Linked DNA regions of Diceros bicornis minor. The protein of the gene in region 2 purifies or fractionates together with the protein of the main gene of each other region. This does not show direct contact. Links are inferred from orthologs where the notes say so. Each region holds a gene or a part of one and is shown on either strand. Other genes may lie near its edges.

The links. The genes of interacting proteins can lie anywhere in the genome.
Region 1: the proteins of PPP1CA (region 2) and CCDC85C purify together in Homo sapiens (affinity purification with mass spectrometry; 4 studies listed by BioGRID and IntAct, counting the BioPlex papers as one, with this or other methods). This does not show direct contact. The link is inferred for Diceros bicornis minor from reciprocal best matches to the Homo sapiens genes PPP1CA and CCDC85C.
Region 3: the proteins of PPP1CA (region 2) and ADISSP purify together in Homo sapiens (affinity purification with mass spectrometry; 4 studies listed by BioGRID and IntAct, counting the BioPlex papers as one, with this or other methods). This does not show direct contact. The link is inferred for Diceros bicornis minor from reciprocal best matches to the Homo sapiens genes PPP1CA and ADISSP.

The regions. Positions count from the first base shown.
Region 1 is NC_080763.1:44,739,460-44,747,434, reverse strand, and holds the start of CCDC85C (coiled-coil domain-containing protein 85C), read left to right. Parts: upstream 1-4,895; 5' UTR 4,896-5,143; coding exon 5,144-5,924; intron 5,925-7,975. UniProt on the Homo sapiens protein: May play a role in cell-cell adhesion and epithelium development through its interaction with proteins of the beta-catenin family. May play an important role in cortical development, especially in the maintenance of radial glia.
Region 2 is NC_080770.1:6,127,356-6,135,047, reverse strand, and holds the start of PPP1CA (serine/threonine-protein phosphatase PP1-alpha catalytic subunit), read right to left. Parts: upstream 3,084-7,692; 5' UTR 3,015-3,083; coding exon 2,960-3,014; intron 2,461-2,959; coding exon 2,329-2,460; intron 2,183-2,328; coding exon 1,952-2,182; intron 1,344-1,951; coding exon 1,239-1,343; intron 824-1,238; coding exon 600-823; intron 518-599; coding exon 383-517; intron 311-382; coding exon 200-310; 3' UTR 1-199. Other genes in the region: TBC1D10C (carabin), read left to right, coding at 4,575-4,813, 5,575-5,674, 5,900-6,007, 6,096-6,202, 6,396-6,510, 7,214-7,279, 7,401-7,590. UniProt on the Homo sapiens protein: Protein phosphatase that associates with over 200 regulatory proteins to form highly specific holoenzymes which dephosphorylate hundreds of biological targets.
Region 3 is NC_080758.1:32,165,004-32,172,230, reverse strand, and holds the start of ADISSP (adipose-secreted signaling protein), read left to right. Parts: upstream 1-4,147; 5' UTR 4,148-4,256; intron 4,257-7,227. UniProt on the Homo sapiens protein: Adipocyte-secreted protein (adipokine) that acts as a key regulator for white adipose tissue (WAT) thermogenesis and glucose homeostasis at least in part through activation of protein kinase A (PKA).

The sequences.
Region 1 (7,975 bases), on a different chromosome or scaffold from region 2:
AGGATGGGGAGAATGTGCAGGGAGAGGGGGCGTGGCTCGATCCTCCAGAGCTTTGCAAGAGCTCTGCTAGGTACTTGACACTGGCCCTGTGGGTGAGGGCTTAGATGAGAAAATTGTGGCTCAGAGAGGGTAGGGACTGGCCTGAGGTCACCCAGCAAGTCAGCGACAGAGGAGCTGGGAGATAGAGCCAACAACCTGCAGTGATCTGCCCGCAGGAATAGCTGGGAAGCTGCAGCCACGCCTGGCTGTCCAGCGGCTTGGGGAGTCTCTGGCTCGGATACAACGTGAGAGCCCTATAGCAGGAGGAAGTGGGGTGATGCACGTGGTCCTGGCACAGTGCAGGCCCCCAGCATCATAGAACTAGACGCACAGCGGGAGGGACATCGCAGAGCAGCTGGTCCACTCCTCCTCTTTGAGAAGGAGTAGTTTATAGGGTAAAGTGCACTCTTGGGCTCAGATGGTCCTGGGTTCAAATCCCAGTTCATTCGCTTGTGACCTCAGACAAGTGACTTGACCTGCGTGAGCCTCAGTTTCCCCCTCTATAAAACGGGCTAGAGTGTTCCCCCCTCACAGGGCTGCGGTAAGGATTGCACGAGACAACCCACGTAAAGCCCTAGCACGTGCCGGGTACACAGAAAGTGCTCCCTTGACACTACTCTTTGTTAACAATAATCATGGTCGCTTTTGCATGGGCCCTGATTTCTTGCCGCATCATAGCCTTTCAGCCATGCATGGTGACTTCCCCTCCCCGGGGGGGTCGTCAAGGAAGAAATCGCAGAGCTTGGCCCCAGACCTGGTCAGCTGCCATCGCCTCACTGACTCGCAGAAACATTCAGCCACCACACAACCCTCCACTGGCCACACCAGAGTCCTTGGGTGTCCACCAACCTCCGAAAACTGCCCATAAGTTCACACTCGGTGACCTGAGCTTCGTGGAGACAAACAGCCAAGCCAACGGGCATCCATGTTAAATCCTAGAAGGGCTCACGACACCGTCTCAGAAGGGCTCACGACACCGTCTCATAGGGTCGTTATGATCATCACAAGAGGGCTGGGTTAGAGTCCTGGTGCATACTGTGTGCTGGGTAAGTTGTAGGAGGTGATGGTTATTATTATTCTTGTTGTTCCTGCTGATAACTATCAGCCCCATGGAGGGGCCACCCTTCCTCCCGTGGCTCACAAAGCCCTCCTCAGCCCAGCTCCGTTACCTGACTGCTCTGTGACTTTTCGCTGCTGTTCAGTGCCTCTGCAGTATGTTCCAGCAATAAGGCATGGCTGTATCTACACACACACCTCACTGTGGTTCACCTTTGGGCCTTGGCTTGTGTTGTTCGCTCCACCTGGTGTATCCCAGCCATCTCCTCTCTTCTCCTCAATCTGATAAACTCCTACTTGCTCTTCAAGATTCACCTCGGGAGTTACCTCTTCCAGGAAGCTGCTCCCAGCGCCTCAGGATGCTCCCATAATGATGCATTCTGCTCATCTCTGTTGTGGTACCTACACAAAGCATTTACAGTGCATATATGGTTGCACATATAGATGCATTTATGTATAAATACTTATCTAATTATGCTTGTGTGTTCAGTAAACCAATGAATGAAAGTGACCTGAGGCAAGTCATTTCCCTTCCGGAGCTCAGTTTCCTCATCTTCAAAACGAGGGGCTGACTCCATTGGTCACTTGCCAAAGGGTCGCTCATTCACTCAGCAAACATCAAATGATGCCTGCTCTGCGGTCTGTGCTCAGGGTCCAGGCACAGAGGAGAATAAGACAGCCCTCCCCTCCCAGTGGGAAGACAGTCTGCCTACCACCAGTATGCTGTTATCATTTCCCAGTCTCACAGACCCGGCGTTCTGGAATATTTTGTCTACTATGGGTTAGTATACTGGCTCTCTCCCAGCTGGCTCTCAAAAACATTTGTGCAGCTTTAAATGGAGATACACAGCCCAGGAGATCCTAAAGAAAAATATTGAGGAGTGGTGGTGCATCTTCATTTTTTAAAAGACCCACAGCTACTTTCACTGGGCAGCTAGAGAACTACTGTTAGAGATCCACGATTTGGTTTTACTGTCTTCACGACAAAGCAAAGCTTATCATGACCACGGAGCTGAAAAAGCAGACGCTTGACATATCGGGTCCTGGCTCAGCTACAGCGTCTGTGGGATGGTGAGAGTTCTAGGGGGCTTAGCACCTCTTGCTGGACCTGGGGGACGAGGGCCCTTAGGGAGGGGGTCTGGCTTGGACGGTCCCTCTTGCTTCAGGCCCCTGTCTCAGCTCTGGGCCCACCCACCCTCCCGCTGTCCTATTCTGATCTGCCCAAGCCTGTCCAGCCAGGGTGCAGAGAGCAGAGTCTCCCTCAAGCCACAGGGTAGCCTCGTCCCAGCACCTTGTCTGCTGCACCAGGGGGGTGTCAGAGGTGCTCTCGTGGGTCCTGGCCGGGGCACTCTCGGTCCCACTGCCTGTAGACGATGCAAAACAAACCCTGCCTGGATGGAGGCTTTGTTTTTCTCTTGGAAAGTTCAGCTGAAGCTGCTAGCCCTGGAGGATCAGGAGACGGAGCTGCAGGCCACAGGAACCACTTGGGGCCACAACAAATGGGGAGGGGCCACAAGCACAGTGTTAACGTCTCAGTGACTTTCCTAGCGAGCCACAGTATCCTATGCTCATCCCTCCCTCTCCCAGGAGCAGCTCTCTGCAGAGGCTTTGCTCTGTGGGGAGCCTCCAGGGAGCTATTTAATCTGGCTTCCTGGGTTAGGAAAGACCTGCAGCCTCCCCAAGTGTGAGCTGAAACCCCTTCCCTCTCCAAACCCAAACTCAGGCTGCGCTGGGCTCGGCCTGCGGAGCACAGAGCCCCGGTGAGGAGGATGCCCCTCCACCCAGGAGCCAGGAGCTGGCTCACCTGGGCCATGTCTGGGGGACCCTCAGCACCCCTGGGCTTGACCCTCAAAGCCATGCCCCTCTGGCTCATCGTCTCCCCATCCCCCTCTCCTGACCATCCACCTGGAGAGAGGGGCGGACAGGTGGGGAATGAGGTACCAAATCTGCCCCTCTCTGCACCCCCCCACCCCTTCTCCACATACAGGCCACAGTGAGCCTCTTAAAAGGCACATCAGGTCATGTTGCTTCCTGCTAACCCCCCACTGCTCTCCCAGCTGCCTTCCAATCATGCATAACCTGTCCCTCTGAGCTCATCTCTCATCTCTCTTCCTTGGCCCACTCCCAGCCCCACTGGCCTCCCTGGAAGAGGCCACTAGGGCCTCGGCACTAGCTGTTCCATCCGCCGGACTGCCCTTCCCCTTTATCTTTGTCCTTCCTGTCACTCAGATCTCAGCTTAGATGCCCCTCCTCAGAGGACCTCCCTGACCACGGGATCTAAAGTAACTGATCATCACTTTCTGTGACAGCAGCTTGTCTTAATCCCCTATCCGGCACTTACGACAGTCTCAGTTATCTAATTTGTTTATTATCTTCTCTCCCCTCCTTCCCCTAGAGTGCAAAGTCCCCCCAGAGGGCAGTGGCCTTTGTTGTCGTCCCCTGCAGAGCCCCCCAGGGGTCTAGCACAGGCCTGGCTTAGAGCAAGCACTGGGTACACAGTTGTCGAGCGAATGGTTGAGCTGCTGTAAATCAGGACACCAGCCGCGGCGCGGGCGCGCGCTCCAGGCTGTGGCCGCTCACGGTCGAGCGCGCGGGTTTTATCTCGTTGGGGATACCGGGGGAGGGACGCCCCCCACCGCCCGGCTCGCGGCAGACGCGTCGTAAACGCGCTTCGGGGACGCGCGGATAACGAGACAGACTCAGGCTGTGGGAAGACTCGCGTGCCGGGCGAGGCTGCCGGTGGTGAAGGGGTTCTGTGCGGCTCGGCGCCCCCCGACCCTGGCGTTAAGACCCCAGTAGGAGACTTTGCTCCACCCTCCCCAGTGGTCGGTCTCCACCTCGCGAATCACAGATTCTCCCCCGAATTCCCGGGACGAGTGGTCCAGTTGGCGGGGGAGCGGTGCTCTGAACGCCGCTCCGGGCTAGGGCAAGCTCCCGGCGCCCTGGCCCCCTCCGGGCTGAGAAGAGGGTACGGACCGCGCTCGGGACACGGTTGGCGAGGCCCTGGCTCTCCCCGTGCGCAGACGCCGGAGCCACAGCCCCGGTCTGGAGTAGAACCGCAGCCTCTCTGCGCGCTCCGGCAGGGGACGAGGGTGGAGGTGGGGGCGGAGGAGCCGGGGGCAGAGAAGGGGACAAAGAGCTGCCCTGCCGCCGGGGAGAGCGACCCCTGTGTCAGAGTCCTATTGTTCCTCGTATCTCAGACTATGCTGGACTCTGGTGTCCCCGGGAGGGAGAAGGGGAGCTGTCCTCCGGACCGTGGGTACAGTATTTGTCTATCTGGGGCGGGGCAGGGCGGGCGGGGTACGCGGGCCGGGGAAGGGGCTCGGCGCCCATTTCCGCGCGTCTCCTTTAAGGGAAGCCCTGCCCCACCTTTCCCACCTTCCCCCTCCCCGAAGCCGTACCTGCATTTTAAAAGCTCCCTGTAGCCCTGGGATTGGCCAAGGCCGCGTCCTCCGGGCGCAGAAACTTGAACCGCCGGGAGGGGGGTTGGAAGCCCAGGGGTGGACTGTACCATCTCGGCGGCGTCCCCTGCGCGCGCCCCGCCCCTCCCACACACCCCCGGAGAGGCCCAATCGGACGGGCAGGAGGGCGGGACCGCGGCTCGAACGCGCCTCTGGCAGGGCGCCGAGCGGGCGGGCGCACGGAGCCGGGGGACGTCGGGGGCTTGTGGCGCCTCTACACCCGCTCGCTCCCCCGGAGGCGGGCCCGGGCCGCGGCGCCCCGCCCCTCCCCGCCCGGAGTGGGCGGGGCGGCCGGGGCTCCGGGAGCTGGGCGGGGGGCGGGCCTCCGCCTGCTTCGCTTCAGCCCGGAGAGCACCCGGCGCGGCGGCCGCCGACGCAGCTGCGGTCCCCGCTCGCCGAGCCCCAAGACGCGCGGGTTCCCGGGCCGCCCGGGCGGGCGCTGCGTGTGGGCGCGCGAGGCAGCGCAGGGAGGGCTGCACGCGCCCCCGGCCGCCCCCCGCCCGCGCGCGGACCGGCCCAGCGCAGCACCGGCGCGGGGAGCGCCGGCCGGGCGAGGGCGCGGGCGATGCCGCGGTGACGGCCCCGCCATGGCTAAACCCCCGGCGGCGACGGCGGCGTCGGAGGAGCTGAGCCAGGTGCCGGACGAGGAGCTGCTGCGCTGGAGCAAGGAGGAGCTGGCGCGGCGGCTGCGGCGCGCCGAGGGCGAGAAGGTGGGCCTCATGCTGGAGCACGGCGGCCTGATGCGCGACGTGAACCGGCGGCTGCAGCAGCACCTGCTGGAGATCCGCGGCCTCAAGGACGTGAACCAGCGCCTGCAGGACGACAACCAGGAGCTGCGGGAGCTCTGCTGCTTCCTCGACGACGACCGGCAGAAGGGGCGCAAGCTCGCGCGCGAGTGGCAGCGCTTCGGGCGCCACGCGGCCGGCGCCGTGTGGCACGAGGTGGCCCGCTCGCAGCAGAAGCTGCGCGAACTCGAGGCGCGCCAGGAGGCCCTGCTGCGCGAGAACCTAGAGCTCAAGGAGCTGGTGCTGCTGCTGGACGAGGAGCGCGCGGCGCTGGCGGGGGGCGCGGGCGGCGCGGGGGGCGGCGGTGGCGCGGGCTCCCGCAGCTCCATCGACAGCCAGGCCAGCCTGAGCGGGCCGCTGGCGGGCGGCGCGGCGGGCGCGGGGACCCGCGACGTGGGCGACGGCAGCAGCACGTCGAGCGCGGGCAGCGGCGGCAGCCCGGACCACCACCACCACGTCCCGCCCCCGCTGCTGCCCCCCGGGCCGCACAAGGCCCCCGACGGCAAGGCTGTAGCCACGCGCAGGTCCCTGGACGACCTGTCGGCACCGCCGCACCACCGAAGCATCCCCAACGGCCTGCACGGTAAGGACAGCACGGGCCGGGCCGCGCGGGTCTCGGGGCCACAGCCTCTTCCTCCGGGGGCGGCCGCCACTCCAGACCCCTTCTCCAGCTGGCATCGGAACCCTGGGCAGGGAGATGCCGCGGCCACCCACAGTGGGGCTTTGGGTGGTGTTTTTCTGGTCAAGTGGTGGAGGCGTGTCCCTGCCCAGCTCCTAATCTGCAGCCCGCATGGGACCTGCCAGACCCCAGAAAAGTTTCTCTTCTGTGGAGTTGTCATTATCAGTGTCCAGCACCGCAGGGCTGGCTGGGGGCACTTCATTCCAGCCTTGGAGATCCTTGTCTGGGAGCGGGAAGTTCTTCATGGAAAAACATGAAAGGTCCTCTGAGCGCAAGAATTTCCCTGTAATTTGGAGCAACAGGCGGCCCCCAAATCTGAGCAGCGGCCAGTGTGTGCCGTGGCTGGAATGCCACCTGGGCTTCCCCGGCCCTGTCTGCAGTGATGGGAAGGAGCACAGGCAGCCGGGTTGAGAAGGGGAGGCAGCTGGGTCAGAGGACCAGGGCTAAGAGGCTTCCTGGTTTGCTATGAGTCCTGCACTGCTCAGGGTGGAGGGAACTTTCTCAACCGAGGCTTGGGGACTTTCCAGGGGGATATGTGCTTGGAATGGATCTTGGCTTTTCTTCTCTGCCTGCCTCAGTTTGCTTATCTGTAGAATGGAAATGATGGTTCCTGCCTTGGGGATTTGAGGTGGAGATAAAGCCCCTGAAGGGATTTGTAAACTGTTGGTCGCCTTATAGGAAGTGCCACGGTGGTCAGTGGGAGGACCTTTGGCCTTAGGAAAGCCCAGGTACTGTCTTCCATGCCTGAGACTGTTGGGCCCAGTGCAGAGGGCCCCCAGCTTGGTCTGTGGAGCAGAGCAGCCGGCTATCATGCCCAGCCCTCAGTCAGTCCCTCTCCTCCCCGCTGCCTCGCTCCTCTCCTGCCTCCCTGTTCTTCCACATTTTTGGTGGCTTGGCTCCCAGTTCTGGTGGCAATTGCTGCTGGAGGTGGAGATTAAACAGCCCTTTCTGGCTCTTTTAAAGCCTTTCCTCGTTCAGAGAAAATGTATCTAGGCCTTAAATGACTGTGCTTCCCCAGGTGACAGCCTGAGCAGGGGAGAGACGCTGGGTCTTTGGTTTGGTGGCCAAGTGGCCTCTGCAGGTGCCCTGGAGTGGGGGCTGCGGTGGGCACTGGGCTGGTGGAGGTGGGATGCTAGGCCAGCACAGTTTTTCCTAATACCCTCCCAGCTTGTGAGTTCAGGGCAGGACTGGGCTGAGAGGGGTATTTTGTTACTGATTAGCAATCTACCGCTGCAACTCTGGTTTCTCTTTGTAACTCTGTATCCACCCCACCTCCCACCACAGGCTCCTTAAGGCCAGTCTGGGTAGCTCAAAAGTTAGGTGGTTTAATTTGTTGGGGTTTCAGGGTCTGGGGAGTGAGGTCCCAGTCCCAGCCTCTCCAGCCTTGCCTTCTTGGGAGCTTTGGGAGGGCCAGATTTCTGGGCCCCAGTTTCCCCAAGTACAACACAGAGGAGGGGATTGCTGCAGTCCTGGGCCTGGGAAAGGAAAGGGTTCTGGTTTTCAGCTGTGTCATAGTGACACTTGGCCAGAGTGATTCTCTGCAGGGCACTGAAGTGCTTGAGTGTCATAGCGTAATCTGCAGGAAGTTCTGTCGTGTTTTGGACTGGGAGACGTGGCCCCTGTCTGGCCCAGTGTTTCATCTGCAGCAGTGAGTGGTGCAGGACTGGGGGACTGGGCTCCACCTGAGGGTTTCCACCCCACTGCGGGGTGGGAGGGTTGAGGTGTAGGGTTTCTTGCAGAATCCATGCCCCTCCAAGTCCCACGCATACTTGGAACAGGACTGCTGTAGATTTTGTGGTGGCAAAGCTTTGCTTTGGGGCGAAATAAAAATTCAGCGTCATCACAAATTTCAGTTACAGATGGGGTTGTTATTGTTTAGGTTTGTCTCTTAAAGTTGTGCGTGGCCTTGAGATGTTCTTCCAACAATATGAATACGATACCTAGAAACAAGGAGA
Region 2 (7,692 bases):
CTGCTTGCAGCCACTGCAGGCACAGGCAGAGGGAGCCCTGGGGGATTGGACGCTGCTATTGATTCATTAAAAAAAAGAAAAATACACCAAGGCTCCGCGTTCCCCATAATGGGTAGGCCTGGGGAGCCAGTGTGACGCCCCACGGCTGTGTGATTTCTGTACAATCCACCATCTGGGGCAGAGGGCGGGCACACCGAGGCTATTTCTTGGCTTTGGCGGAGTTGCGGGGTGGGGTGATGGGCCGGCCTCCAGGGTTCAGGCTACTGAACTGCCCGTATTTCCCCTTGTTCTTGTCGGCGGGCTTGAGGATCTAAGAGAGACAAAGCTGGTCAGCTCACGGGGCCACGCCAGGGACCACCAGCCCCTTCCTCCCCAGCCCCACCTGGAAGGAGCACATGAGCGTCTCGTCCACACTCATCATGGCGCCTGCGTTGTCAAACTCGCCACAGTAGTTGGGAGCTGAGAAAAGTGTCACCAGCTGCCGCTTGGCAAAGAACTCATAGCCATCTTCTACCACCTGGAGGAGGATGGGGGCGGTTAGTTCAGCAGGTGCTGGCTGCCCAGGCCCCGTTCCCACCGGCCCAGAGCTGCCAGCCCACCTGATGCGCCCGGCAGATGAGGTCCAGATCGTGCTTGTGCAGGAACTTGGCCACCACCTCAGCCCCGAATGTAAAGGAGACACCACGGTCGTTCTCGCCCCAGCCTTGCACGTCCTTGTCAGGGTCGGACCACAGCAGGTCACAGAGCAGCCCCTGGTCAGGCACATCCGTGGGCCGCATGATACGCCGGATCTGCTCCATCGACTGCAGGTCGGGGGACAGGCCTGGGGGGTGCAGAGCATAGGACGCTTCCTCAAATAAGCCTCAAAACAAGGACCCCCTCCTCCAGACAGCATGTGCAGTCAGCCTCTGCCTCCCCCGTACCACCTGGCTGTCTCCTGGGAGCCCAGGCAGGCAGAACTCATCACCTGCCTCTTCAAGTCCCTGCCCTCAGGGAGCACACAGCTCCCTGGAGAAAGGAGACAAGTGAATTCCATGCTGGATGCTGAGGCCACAACAGGGGAGCGAGTGCGGCCTAACACTGGGGTGCAGGGGGACTTCCTGGAAGAAGGGATATGCGAGCCCAGACGCCAGGGAGACCTGTTCCAGGCACTCTCTTCATCCCAAGGCCCCCAGGGATGTGGCCAGGCTCCTCCTCCCCAAGCATTCCCTCAGCAGGTACCCCAGAGCCGCCCTCACCTCCATGGCAGCAGAAGATCTTCTCATCCACAATGGCAGCGATGGGCAGGCAGTTGAAGCAGTCGGTGAAGGTTTTCCACAGTTTAATGTTGTAGCGCCTCTTGCCTGCCCAGAGTAAGGAGATGGCTCATGAGGAGGCCTGTCTGCCTGACCCTCAGCCTGGGTCTCTGGGCCCTCCCAGGCACTTCGTGGGCTGTTCAGACACAGCTGGGAGAAGAGAGTGGAAGGCAAGAAGGGAAACCTCCAACCCCACCCCACTGCCTACCAGCCTTCTAAGAGGAATTCTAAAGCAGCTGAGTGCACAGGAACCTAGAGTTCCAATCTGGAACAACCTCAGGTTTGGCACCCACCCCGTGAGCAGGAGCAGGGCCAGGCCAAGACCAGGTCTGGTTTATCTCAGCTTCTGGCCCACAGAGTCCAGTCCAGATAGGCATCCTATGTGCTTAAGTAACGGATGTGCCGGAGGGAGTGTTAGCAGGCAGGGCCCTGCATGAAAATATGGTCAGCTCTTCAGTCAGCAACCATTCACCAGACCCCTCCCGAGTGCCAGGCCCCAGGCCAGGAGGGCAGGGCCCTGCCTTCACGGAGCTCGCAGTCCAGCAGGTGTCTGTCAGACACTGATATCCCTACCACCAGGACAATGTGAGGGCCCCACTGGATAGCGGGGAGAGCTCTTCAGGACTTGGGCAGCCCCAGACACCCAGCCCACTCACACTCATCATAGAAGCCATAGATGCGGTTGATGCTGGCACACTCGTGGTTCCCACGGAGCAGGAAGAAGTTCTCGGGGTACTTGATCTTATAGGCCAGCAGCAGGCAGATGGTCTCCAAAGACTGCTTGCCCCGGTCCACATAGTCCCCCAGGAAGAGGTAGTTGCTCTCTGGAGGGAAGCCACCATACTCGAACAGCCGCAGAAGGTCGTAGTACTGGCCGTGGATGTCACCTGTGACCCAGGGAACCGGGGTCAGCACTAGGTGCAGGGTAGAGACTTGAATCCAGGGCCAGGGTTGGGCTCAAGAAAAGGGATCCAGGGACTCTAGGGGCCAATGCCACTTGCAGGAAGCAAAGGAGCCTGGGCACGGGGCTCACCACAGATCTTGAGGGGCGCCTCCAGCTCCAGAAGAATTGGCTGGCTCAGGAAAATCTCCCGGGATTTGAGGCACAGACCACGGATCTCGTTCTCCGTCAGCTGTACATTCTTTCCAGGTCGTGAGCCCTGCACTGGGGGCGGAATGGGGCGTCAGGACCCTGGCCCCTCAGGCAGGAGGAGGGTGGGCGACACGGGTGGCCCCAGGAGCACTTCTGGAGGCTCCCAGGCCCCTCCTTGCCCAGGGGCAGCTGTTGCTGCTGAGCCTCCCGGGACGGGACCCCAACTACCCTCAAGTCACTCGAGGGGGCTGCTGTGCGCAGGGGCCTGCCACCCAAACCCCATAGCGCAGGACCCCTCCCTGGGGGGCTGGGCTTCTCACGTTTCACCCTCGCCCCAAGAGCCCCAGCCACCCCGTGCGCCCCTGGCCCAGAAGAGGGGGCTGCTCCCCGTGCCGGAGCGGCCCCAGACCTCCTAGGCGCGTCGCCAGTGGGGGGGCGGCCGCGGCCCTCGCGGCCCGTCCCCGCCCAGTCTAAGCTGGCCCTGGGAGCGGCAGGCCCGCCCGCGCGCCACTTCCGGGCCGGGCAGGGGGCCAGGGCGCGGCGGGCGCCGACCTCCCCCGCCCCGGCCAACCTTCCAGCAGGCGCCCGATGATAGAGTCCAGGTTGAGCTTCTCGCTGTCGGACATGGCGGCGCCGCCGCTCCGGCCCAGCAGCTCCGGGCCAGCTCCTGCCTCCCGCCCTCCCGCTGCCTCCTTCCGGCCTGGAGCTCCTTCCGCCATCCCGGCCCGCCCCGGCCCGCCGCCCCGCCTCCTCGGCCGCCCGCCCCGCCCGTCCTATGACCGAGGCCCCGCCCCGCCCCGCCCCGCCCCGCCCCGCCCGCTGCCCCAGCGCTCTAGCGCCTCCGCAGGACGCCAAGCGCAGCAGCCCGGGAGGCGGGGCCTCGGCTGTGGGCGGGGCTTGGGCCGGGCTCGGCGTCTCTGGGGCGGGGCCTGGTAGGTGGGCGGGGCCTTGTGGGGCAGGGTGGAGTCTGGCTCCGCCCCTGAGGATCACCCAGGCCCCTAGAGAGGATATGGGGCCGGAAGTACTGTGGAAGTTGTTTTTATCTTTCAAAAGCTAAACAGTCCTTCCCACCCCTACTCTGGGCGAGGGGGCGGTGTGAGCACAATGATAACGGTCTCCCCGAACGCTGCAGATTAAGTCCTCGAAGTGCAGAAAAGGAAACAGCTTCAGATATAGCGAGGGGCTGGTCCAAGACCGGGGCCTCGCATTCACCGAGGACCTCTACCTCGTGAGTCTCTTTGGCCCCCAGGCGCTGAGCAGACCCAGGCAGCTGCCGCAGCACTGCGAGCCCATTTTGGTCCACACTGCCTGTGGTGCACACTAATTATTACTTTTTATAAGTCCCATCATTGCCTTCTGAGTAGCATAATGATGCTGCATTGTGTGTGTGTTAAAAGTATTACTTCGTAAAGAATAAACATTAAAGAAACCATAATTCTTTTTTTGTGTGAGGAAGATCAGCCCTGAGCTAACATCCAATACCAATCCTCCTGTTTTTGCTGAGGAAGATTGGCCCTGGGCTAACACTAACATCCGTGCCCATCTTTCTCTACTTTATATGGGACGCCACCACAGCATGGCTTGACAAGCAGTGTGTGGGTGCACGCCCTGATCCTAACCTGCGAACCCCGGCCGCCGGAGTGGAGTGCGCGGACTTAACCGCTACGCCACAGGACCGGCCCCAAAACCATAATTCTTATTGGAACCCTGATTTGAGTGTTTTACATGGCAGTAACCTCAAAAGTGGAGGTGGCCTGGTCTCTCTGCCTCTTGCAGGCCTTGGCCCCATCACACGCAGCACAGAAACCCAAGCCTGCAGCCACCCAGCCCATGGGGAGGGTGGGAGGAGCCCATGGCCCAGGGGCACTGGGGCAGGCCGGAAGAGCCTCGGAGAGGAAGGGGTGACACCCCCTCTACACCCTTGGGAGGGGCCCCCCAGTGGGTTGCTGAAGCTGTGGCTGAGGAGGAAGTGAGAGGAGGAGGTGAGGTGCTACCGGGAGGTAAGCTGGGCTGGTGAGGACAGGGGCTGGGCCTGGGGCTATTTCCTGTACAGAGGCCTGGACTTTCTGCCACTTTAGGGCCCAGCCCCCCGCAACAGAAGAGGGGACAGAGGGGGCTTGGTGAAATACCCTGAAATCTCCCCCCTCTGATGCTGCAGCCAGGCCCTGGGGCTGGGACCTGGCTGGATGGGAGCCCAGGCCCCAGGCTGGCTGGGAGCTACCTCTCACACTGGCTCTCCCCACGTCTTGCAGCCTGTGGCATCCGGGGGCACCATGGCCCAGGCCCTGGGGGAGGACCTGGTGCAGCCTTGCGAGCTGCAGGATGACTCCAGTTCTTTGGGGTCTGACTCAGAGCTGAGTGGGCCCGGCCCATACCGCCAGGCTGACCGCTATGGCTTCATCGGGGGCAGCTCGGCAGAGCCAGGGTAAGTGGGGCAGGAATGGGGTGCTGGGGTGCTGGGATTGAGGATGAGGGCTGAGGGCTGAATTCTAGAGTGAGGCCCAACCTCAAGGGTCCTGGAAGGATCTAGGAACTTAGCCAGTGCCACCCCTCCTCAGGCTCCAGGTGGAATCCCAAGGGTGGCAGGACTGTGGGTAGGGTGTCCCTGTATACTGTGGGTAGGGTGTCCCTGTATATCTCTTTTACCGCCAGCCTCTGAGGGTGTGCACCCACCCTTAGGGCTGACCCTTCCCCTTTTAATCTCTGGCCCAGGAATCCCAGATCCAAATCATAGAACCTCTTCTCCCACCCTCACCCTTTCCCAATATACAGACAGGAAAACAAGTCCAGAGACAGACAGGAACTTGCCCAAGGTCACACAGCAGATCAGAGCCAGAACCAGACTCAAACTCGGGGCTTCTGGCTTCTAGTCCGGGGCTCTGTCCACCCAGCTTCCCCTGTGAGTTGTCTGTGTCCCTATCATGCGGGACAGCCAACCAGCCCCTCCCCCAACACACACCTACACACCCCCTTCAGTCTTTCCTGTTTCTGCCCACATGGGAGCCACTTTCTTTCCTGTCCCCATGACAACTACTGGCAACTCTTGGGTGACAGATCACCCTGCAGGGGTCCCCAGAGATCTCCAGGGCCAGGACCTGGGCTAACCCAAGTACCATAGAGGGTGGCAGATATGGGCTCTAGGTAACAGCTACCCAGCACCTGGATGCCTGTACCATGTGCCCCCAGACCAAGTCACCCTCCTGCAGACCTTATCCGCCAGCGGGAAATGAAGTGGGTGGAGATGACCTCACACTGGGAGAAAACCATGTCTCGGCGATACAAGAAGGTGAGGGGAGAGTGGCCCCACGCAGGCCTCCTCGGCTCATTCCCCTTTGCCTCGGCCCCTGCCCCAGCAAAATTTACCCATCCTGTGTCCCAGCACCTCCTGCCTTTTCTCCCTACCACCCAAAGTGGGCCCCTGCCCAATGACAAGTTGTGCTTGGGGCCTGCCAACACGGCCCGGTGAGGCTGGCCTGGCTGGCCTAATGGGGCCCCTTGGCCTCACCCACAGGTAAAGATGCAGTGCCGGAAAGGCATCCCCTCAGCCCTGCGGGCCCGCTGCTGGCCCCTGTTGTGTGGGGCCCATGTGTGTCAGAAGAACAGCCCTGGCACCTATCAGGTAAGGGGGGTGGCAGGGGTCCTGCCTCCCCTTCCCAGAGCCCCTCGCCGCTCTGAGCCCTCACACTCATCTTCCTGCCCACCCACAGGAACTGGCTGAGGCCCCTGGAGACCCACAGTGGATGGAGACCATAGGCAGGGACTTGCACCGCCAGTTCCCTCTGCACGAGATGTTTGTGTCACCCCAGGGTCACGGGTACGAAGCCAGTGATGCTCAGGGACCCCCAGCCCCACAACCCCCAGGCACGTCGGCCTAGTCCCCCACCCCTTTATAGCCTTGCATCTCAGGGGACCCAGCAAGGCGCAGGGGGCTGAGGCCTGGGCAGAGGCCGCCAGAGGGTGGGAAGGGCTGCCCAGAGGACTGGCCCCAAATGGGTCTTCTGGCACAGGCAGCAGGGGCTCCTGCAAGTGCTCAAGGCCTACACCCTGTATCGGCCTGAACAGGGCTACTGCCAGGCCCAGGGCCCTGTGGCGGCTGTGCTGCTCATGCATCTGCCCCCGGAGGTGAGTGCCCTTGACCCTGCTCCAGAGACCTGAGACACTGAACCCTCAGCCCCAGTGGGACCCAGTGATCCATGACCCCCAACCCCAGGGACTCTGACTTCAGGGAGCTAAGACCCTTGATCCCCAATCCTAGGGACCTGGGGACCCTGTAATCCTGTGCCCTGGGCCCATGACCTCCAACCCCAGGAACTCTGGCCTCAGGGACCTGGGATCCTTGACTCCCAGATCCTGTCCCAGTGACCTGGGGCCTCATGACCACCAACCTCAGTGTTCTTCAAGCCCAACCACCTTGACTCCAGGAACCTGGGACCCTTGACCCCTACCCTTACCCCAGTGATCTAGGAGTCTGGCATTATCACCTTCACCTCGTGACTCCCGATTCTGAACCCTGTGATCCCTGACCCTAATAACCCCAGGAGCCAGGATTTGAACTTTGAGACCCTCCCAACCCTTGACCAGTGAACCCCAACCCTGTGACCCTCAAATTCAACACCCTGAGCCCTGTGATTTCCAACCCCTTAAACCCATCGGTAGGCCTCTGTCTGGGCACGGGGGAGGCATTTGGTAAGAGCCCCCCCTGCAGTAAGTCCATGCTCCTGGCTCCAGAGTCACCCCAGATGGTGTCTAGGCCCTCCCCTCTGCCCCTTTCCCTTGCCCTGCAGTCCCCTCGTGTGGGCACTCACAGCCTGTGCCCTGCCCCCAGGAGGCCTTCTGGTGCCTGGTACAGATCTGCGAGGTCTACCTCCCCGGCTACTATGGGCCTCACATGGTGAGAGGCTGGGATGGGACCAAGGGTACAGGAGGAGGGGCTGGGAAGGCGGGTGGGGGCCCGGGACAGAGGGGACAGAGCCTGAGGTTTGGGAGTGGAGGTGCTGACGGACTGGCCGCAGGAGGCCGTGCAGCTGGACGCTGAGGTGTTCACGGCCCTGTTGCGGCGGCTGCTCCCACGTGTGCACAAGCACCTGCAGCAGGTGGGCGTCGGGCCCCTGCTCTACCTGCCCGAGTGGTTCCTGTGCCTCTTCGCCCGCTCCCTGCCCTTCCCCACCGTTCTGCGTGTCTGGGACGCCTTCCTCAGCGAGGGTGAGTGGGCGGCCGGGCGGGTGGGAGGGTGCCCAGGGCTGGGAGCCTTGGGGTGCGCGGTGTCTGCAAAGAAAGCACGCCAGCTCTGCTCTGCCTTGCCTG
Region 3 (7,227 bases), on a different chromosome or scaffold from region 2:
TTGCTGACTCATCCTACAGATCTTGAAATTTGCCAGCCTCCATAACTCCATAATCGCATGAGCTACTTCCTTATAATAAATCAATCTCTATATCATCTATATCTGTATCTGTATCTATATCTATATCTATATCATCTATATCTATATACATCTCATTGGTTCTGTTTCTCTGGAGAACCTCAACTAATACAAGATTTTTTCATATCAGTCCGTCGAAAACTTCTTCTGTTTTTAAAGCCATCTAAAATTCTATTGTCTCTACCAAATTTATTTAATCAGTCCTCTATTGAAGGACATTTGAGTTGTTTCTAAACTTTTGTTAATAACAATACAACAATGAATAACCTCATACATTCCTAATTCAGTATTGTGTGCAAGTATATCTGCATGATAAATTCCAGAACTGGGATTGTTAGGTCAAAGAATACACTCATTTGTATTCTTGATATTGTGAAATCGTCCTCCACAAGGGCACGGCTCAGAGCAGAGGCTGAAGACTGGTGGCCTGCTGCCCTGCTTTGGTTTCCACAGTGTTGTGTTTTTACAAAATTAATTGCTAATTTTTATGCTGATGAGGATGTGAAGCAACAAGAACTCTCATACTCTGCTGATGGGAGTGTAAGTGAGTACAACCATTTCAGAAAACAGTTTGGCGGTTTCATACAAAATCAAACCTATGCCTATGCTATTGTATCAGTTAGAGTTCAATCAGAGAAGCAGAAAGGATTTGTTACAGGGATTTGACTTCAGGTAACTGTTCAACAGTCTCTGTAAGTCTGTCGTTTTTGCATCTGATGCTGGAGCTTAAAGTTCACAGGTCAGGCGGCTGGGAAGGGAAGATGGATATAAAGTGTAGGAGAGAAAGGACAAGCTGGAATCCGCAAGGATAAGCTGGAACCCTTGAGGACAAAAGGGACCTTATGTCAGTTCCCACTGCCTGCAAACTTGATGATGTCAGTGTCCTGCAGGAAAAGCTGGTGCCCTTTGTTATCTGGCCCCAGGAGTCACAGAAGCTGAAGGAGGATCCAGGGAAAGGTGGAGCAGTTTCAGGCCTGGCTGCTACCCCATATCAGTGAGGTGAGCAGCAGATCAGCAACAAAGTGCACGGGCTACAAAGCTCCTGTCTAGACCTTGCGAGTGTAAAAGCCAATACAGCCACTGCTTTTCTTCCACCCTCCATAGCTCATGCAAAAGTGTCTGTTGTGGCCCACCCTAACTGGAAACATACATGGAAGAGAATTCTGGGAAATATAGTTTACCATAGCTAAGTTGACACATTATAAAGCCACCACAACTATGTTCCCTCAATTCCATTCCTCAATATATACTCAAGAGAAATGCAGACATATATTTACCAAGACTTGTACTAGAATATACAATACAGTATATACTATTTTTGTGTCAGGCTTCTTTTGCTCAATATTGTCTGTGAGAATCATCCATATTGTTGCATGTATTCAGTAGGTTGTTCTTTGTCATTGCTGTATAATATACCACTGATGAATATAGTGCAATTTATTTATTCATTCTAACATTGGTGGATGCTTGGGTTGTTTCCAGTTTGGGGCTATTACAAATGGTGCTGCAATGAATATTTGTATACATGTCTTTTGGTATAACTAAGAGTGGAATTGCTGGGTCATAGAGTTGGCATTTATCAGCTTTATTAGATACTTCCAAGCAGTTTTCCAATGAGGTTACAGTTGTTTAATTTTTATTAAAAAGAATAGAATCTGGAATATCATGTGTTTGGAGCTGGAGTGGATGTTTTACATGTGCTTAACCTGTTTCCCTAACCTGGATTTGCTCCTAATTCCTTCCCATACTGCCCTCATCTCCAGGGAGCCTGTGACTTCCCTCAAACAGTTGTCTGCCTCTGGTAAGGCCCTTTGCACAGGAAGTCCCAGGGCCTGGGGACCACTTTGATGTTGGCACACCTTCTCTTTGGTACACAGGCCCACTGGGCCGTGATGGGGGAGCCATCTACCTTCTACTCTGACTTCTTCCTGGTTTGAAGAGTTTCATTTCCTCTGGGAGGTTTTTGGGAACCATCGGCACTTACTGTGGCCTTGGGGCTTTTCCCGGGAGCCTGTAGTATCCCCAGGCATGGGGAGCTCTGTATTACAGGTCCTCCCAGTTGGCCAGTCAGCCAGATTGCCCAGTGCCTGGGAGTGCGAGGAGTGTTAGGCAGACACAGGAGACCACAGTTCTTTTTGTGTGGTACACCTCCCACTCTCAGCTGTGAGTGCCTTTAACTTCAGGGCCTAGCACAGTAACTTGCTCATTATATACACTTAGTAAATATTTGTTGAAAGGAGTTGACAATTAGGAAATAGCCCCAGGCAGTGCACAGTTAGCAGCTAGTCTGTGTGTTTGAAAGAGCCTACACTAGGGATGGGTTTGAGAAGTTGGCTAAAAAGATGTAAAAAAGGCAGGCCTTAACCTGGTCTCCAAGGGAGCGTGAGTTTTGCCCATAAGAGGAGAGTGGGAAGGGCATTCCAGGTGGGAAGGTAGCATAAGGAGGGTATCATGAAATCAAATGTCTGCACAGACCCAGAAGGTAAAAAAAATGTGACAAAATAGGGATTGGTGGGGCATATTGATGTGCCAGCTTTTGGTGACAGGTTGGAATGTGAGTCCATGTTGTTAGATCTCCTGATATTTCAAAAGAAGAGGAAGAGAAGAAAGAGGAAGAAGAGGGAGAAGAGGAAGAATAATTAGAATTTTAAAAAGCTTCATGTGAACTAAACAAAATACATCAGCAGCCTGCTTTGGGCCCAGTGTCTGCCAACTTCAGACCCTGAAGAATAGAACAGACATGGGAATACAATTGGGGGGGAGCCATAGTGAGGCGCATGGAACGGTGGGGTTGGGTAGTAAGAAACCACCTGGCTGGGATCAGAATGTGGAACTCTCTCAATGCCCGCGCTAGAGGGCAGCATCTCAAATGCCAGAGTGTGCACGAATCACCCAAAATTCTGCTAAAAAGTTTGTGAAGCTCTGCTGGAGACAGTCCCAGAGCAGGGAGCGTGTTGGAGCAGAGGAAGACGCGGTGGAAACAATAGCTCAGGAAGACTAATTTGCCAACAGCGTGCAGACCAGAGACCAGAAGATAGGTTAGGGGCCACAAGGATCCAGCGGAGGGTAGGAGCCTTGGGGGCTCCCCAAAGAGCGACCTGGTCCTTCTAAAAGAAAGCTGGCCCTCAGCCGCGGCATGCCCTTTCTCCCCTGGTTACGTTGGAAGGAGGGAGCCGCGTGCTCCGGACGGTTCCTCGCGGGCACTTTAGGGGCAGCGAAATGAGGGGTGGAGGGGGTGTTGTTCAAGGGCACCTAAAGACCTGAGGGCCACGCCTCTCGCTCTCAAGCCGTGCGCCTGTGCGCACATCCCACCCGGCGGCGCTTAGCTAGGCGCATCCCGCTGCCATGGCGACCGCCTCCATGGAGACCGGGAGCAGAGGCTGCGGTCCCCAGGGGCGCCGGCATAGGTTCTCTCAAGCCCCCAACCCGCGTGCCTTCTTTTTTCTGATACTTATCCCGGCCGCTGGGCTCCCAGGAAGCGTCTCAGGTCCGCGCGGGAGCGTTTCCTCCGAGGCAGGGGCATGGGGTGGAAGGGGAAGAGGCCGAAACCCGGCGGTCGCAGAGCGGGAAGGATGGAAAGGACCTAGCGATGCCCGTATCGATTGCCGATGCAGGCCTGGAAGCCTAAGGAGAAAGGCAACCTCATATGCCCCACCTAGCCCTGAGCCCTGCGTTACAGCCGCTCGAGGGAACAGAGCCCAGGGGACGGCCCCTTCCAAGTTGGCGCCGAGGCGGGAAGTGCAAACTCCACAGCTGCAGGTGGGAGGCGGGCGGGGCCAATTCGAGACACTCCTCCCTTCCCTCTCTCCCTTCTGCCCCATGCTGGCCCCTGGCCAAGACGGGCGGCCCGGCTGTCTTCATCGCGAGAACTCGCCCGGGCAGGCGTGGGCTCGCACGGCGCAGCCGCAAAGCCCCCTGCACGTGACGCAGTGGCGCAACGCCCGTTGGAGGTTCTCTAGCGCCCACTTATTGGTCCGAAGCCTCCTCGCCCCACCCCTTCGATCGACCAATGGGTGGAGGCAGGGGCGTGCCCGTGAGGAGGGCGGCGGCGGCGCGGGGGTCCCTCCTGGAGCTCGGCGTTGAGCCCCCGCTGCCGCCGCGACCGCCGTAGCCGCCGCGACCGCCGTAGCCGCCGCTGTTGTGTTTGCCCGTCCCGGCCGCCGAGTGCTCCCCGCACGGTGAGACTGCTCCTCCTCCAGCCACCTCCCGGTTCCACCCGGCTCCCTGAGATCCCCTCCCGGCCGAGCCGCTGTCCTAGGCAGTCGGTGCCTGAGACTCCAACGGGCCGGGGCGGGGCTCCGCTGTCGGGGCCCGGCCCAGGAGGGCTCCGTGGTACCTGAGCTGGGGAGATGTCAGGCCCCGGGGTCACGGGTGACGGTTAGCTGGTGGAGCCGGGGTGTTTTCCGCGGCGCGCTGTCGGGGGCACGTGTGACACAGTGAGGGCGGGGGCGTAATGGGGTCAGCGCCGTCAGCACCCCCCTTATTGTCACCACCTCTCTGTGTGAGCTTGGACGAGTAGCCTCTCTGAGCCTCGCGTGCCTCGGCACCCTCAGGGAGGAGAGCGGTGATGTCGGGGAGTGCGGCCTCCCAAGATTCCTGCGTCAGCAGAGGTGAGGGTGGGGAGGGCGCAGGATTATCTCTGAGGGACAGAGCCGCTGCCTCGAAGTCCAGGATGAGTGTGATGGGGGGAGACACGTCCAGCCGCCATCAGTCCCTTCAGAAGATGAGAATGGGGCGGGGATGGGAACGCCACACCCGCGGGGATGGAGGCGGGAGAGGATACAGGGTCCTACACCGCGATCCCTGCTACCTCTAGGGGCTTGGCCAGCACCTCCGCTTTGTCACGCACCATGAGGGGTTCAATTTAGGTTCTGGACCACTGTTCCTGTTGGTGAGCAGGAGCCCTGTTGGACTGAGAAGGGAGGCCTTAGGTTGCCTTTCTTCTTGAATCTTGGCATTGGGAAGTGGGGGCAGGGCATTTCTCTGCCCTGGGAGCTAAGAAGGTCAGGGGCAGCTGTCACCCCCTACACCTGGCCTGGCCTCTACTTCTTGGGGCCTCCAGGTGACAGGCCCAGGGCGGGGCCTGGGTGGGGCAGGCCCGTAGAGGCTAGAGGGGTCTAAGCACCCTCTAGCTGGGGCTGTTGGGGGGTTGTGGGGAAGGGATGCTGGGCAGGCAGGGCAACACTTCTTGGGGAGACAGGAGAGTGTAGGATGGTGGGGATCCCTTACCCAGGTCACCCCTGATCTATCCACTTGTGAGAGGGAGAACACGCATACTTATCTTTGCACTTCTGGCATGCTGGGCGGAGGAGGAAATGGAGTCACATCCAGACTGAGTTGATGTAAAGCTACCACAACCACACCTGACCTCTGGCCTTGCTTTTCTAAGCTTTCTTCTAGTTTGCGGGCCCCCACTATGTGCCAGCCCCGTGTCAAGGTCTGGAGTCAGCAGGTCAGCTTGGCCTCAGTGGGTGCTCTTTTTACAAGCTTGAGCTTTAATGAGAGGCTGGACACTGTTTCTGCTGGACTGAGTCCTTAAGCCTGGACTAAGCCCTGGGCTGGGGTTGGGGAGGGTGGAAGGTTGTGGAGTTCCTGGCTCAGAAAATCCTTGAACAGGCTGAGAATGGGGATTGAGGAATGGATGAGAAACGAGGCCCCTAAAGGCTGGGGGTATGCTCCCAACCACAAAGCAGAGGACAAGCTGGGGCTGGCCCTGTGATGCCTGGATTTGGAGGCTGCCTCTGGGGCAGAGAAGTGGTGTGGGGGTGCACCTGTGGGGTGGACAGCCAGAGGGTGGCAGGTTCTGGAGCTCCACTTTGCCATAGACAAACTGTCTTTGGCCCTCCCTCCAGTCTGGAGCCTTGGGCCTAGAGTAGCAGCTAGCCCTGTGGGGCAGGAGTCTAGGGGGCTGAGAACTCTGGGTTCCTGTGTTACTGTCTGTCTGTCTGCCCACTTGCCATGTCCCTGGGTCTGCTCCTCAGGCCAGAGGCTCCACTGGGCCTGGCTGAACCGTGTCTAGGGTAGGGTTACCTCAAAGCAGCCTTTCTCTCTAAAGCTGAGAGGGACCTGAGCTGGCAGCTTTCTGTCTCCCAGAGAGAAGGCTTCCCTAATTTCCCTGAGAGTAACTGAGAGCCAAAGAAGCCCTGCAAAGCCCTTGTTCCAGCTTTCCAGCCCTCCCCGTCGTGTGACTGTCATGATACCACTCCTGACTTGTTGACAGCCCATCTAAGGGGGGGGGGATCTTTTTTTTTTTTTGCCGGGTGGGGGCATTTCCCAGGATGTACATTCTTCACATCTTCCTTGTGAGTCCCTCTGGTTGGGAGGGACAGTGGGCTCCCAGCAGTCTGCTCTCTGGCAATCCCTGGGGACCTGGCTGGCCTGAGAGTTGGGGAGGGGGAGGGAGGCCCCTCAACACTTGAGCTGTTTTCTGAGAAGGCAGAAATCCCTGGGGCCCACCCTGAGGGCCATTCCTGGCTGTTCCAGGATTGACCTGAAGTGCCTCTCCATCAGTGCTGCCCTGAAACGGCTGTTGCTTTGGAAACCAGGCCTTTGGGGGTTTGCTTTTTGCGAAGGTGGGGGTGGAGTGGGGAGCATTGTCACAGAGCTTTTCAGGCATCAGCTGCACTGAACCCTCCGAGGAAGAGGCCACTGCTTATTCCTGTGTTACAGGTGAGGAAGCTGAGGCACAGAGACGCGAAGTAACTTGCCCGTGCAGCCTGAATTTGAACCAGAACTGCTGGGCTCTGGACCTATGCTCCTGACCTTGTCCCTGCTGCCTCTAGGGGGCTGTGCGGTTTGGGCCATGCTCAGGACTTGGCTGGCACAGGAAGAGGCCTAGGGTTGCCAGGGGGCCTAGCGGTTCCCTGTAGGCACAGTTGCAGCAGGAGGAGGCCTGCTTCTGATGAGGAATTATGTTGGACAAGAGTGGCTCCCAGGGGACAGTGACTCGCAGGGCTCTCTGCTGGCAGGGGACAGTGACTGGAGGCTTGCTTTTTCCAGCCTCCTCTGGGCCCCTAAAGTCACTTGCCTCCCCTCTCTGTGTTCTCACTGCCACAGGGTTACAGGCAGTGCCTGAGTGCTTGGTCCATATGAGCTCTGGGCAGTGCACGAGACGTGGATCCTGCCCTCAGTAGGCTTTCCATCTCTTCA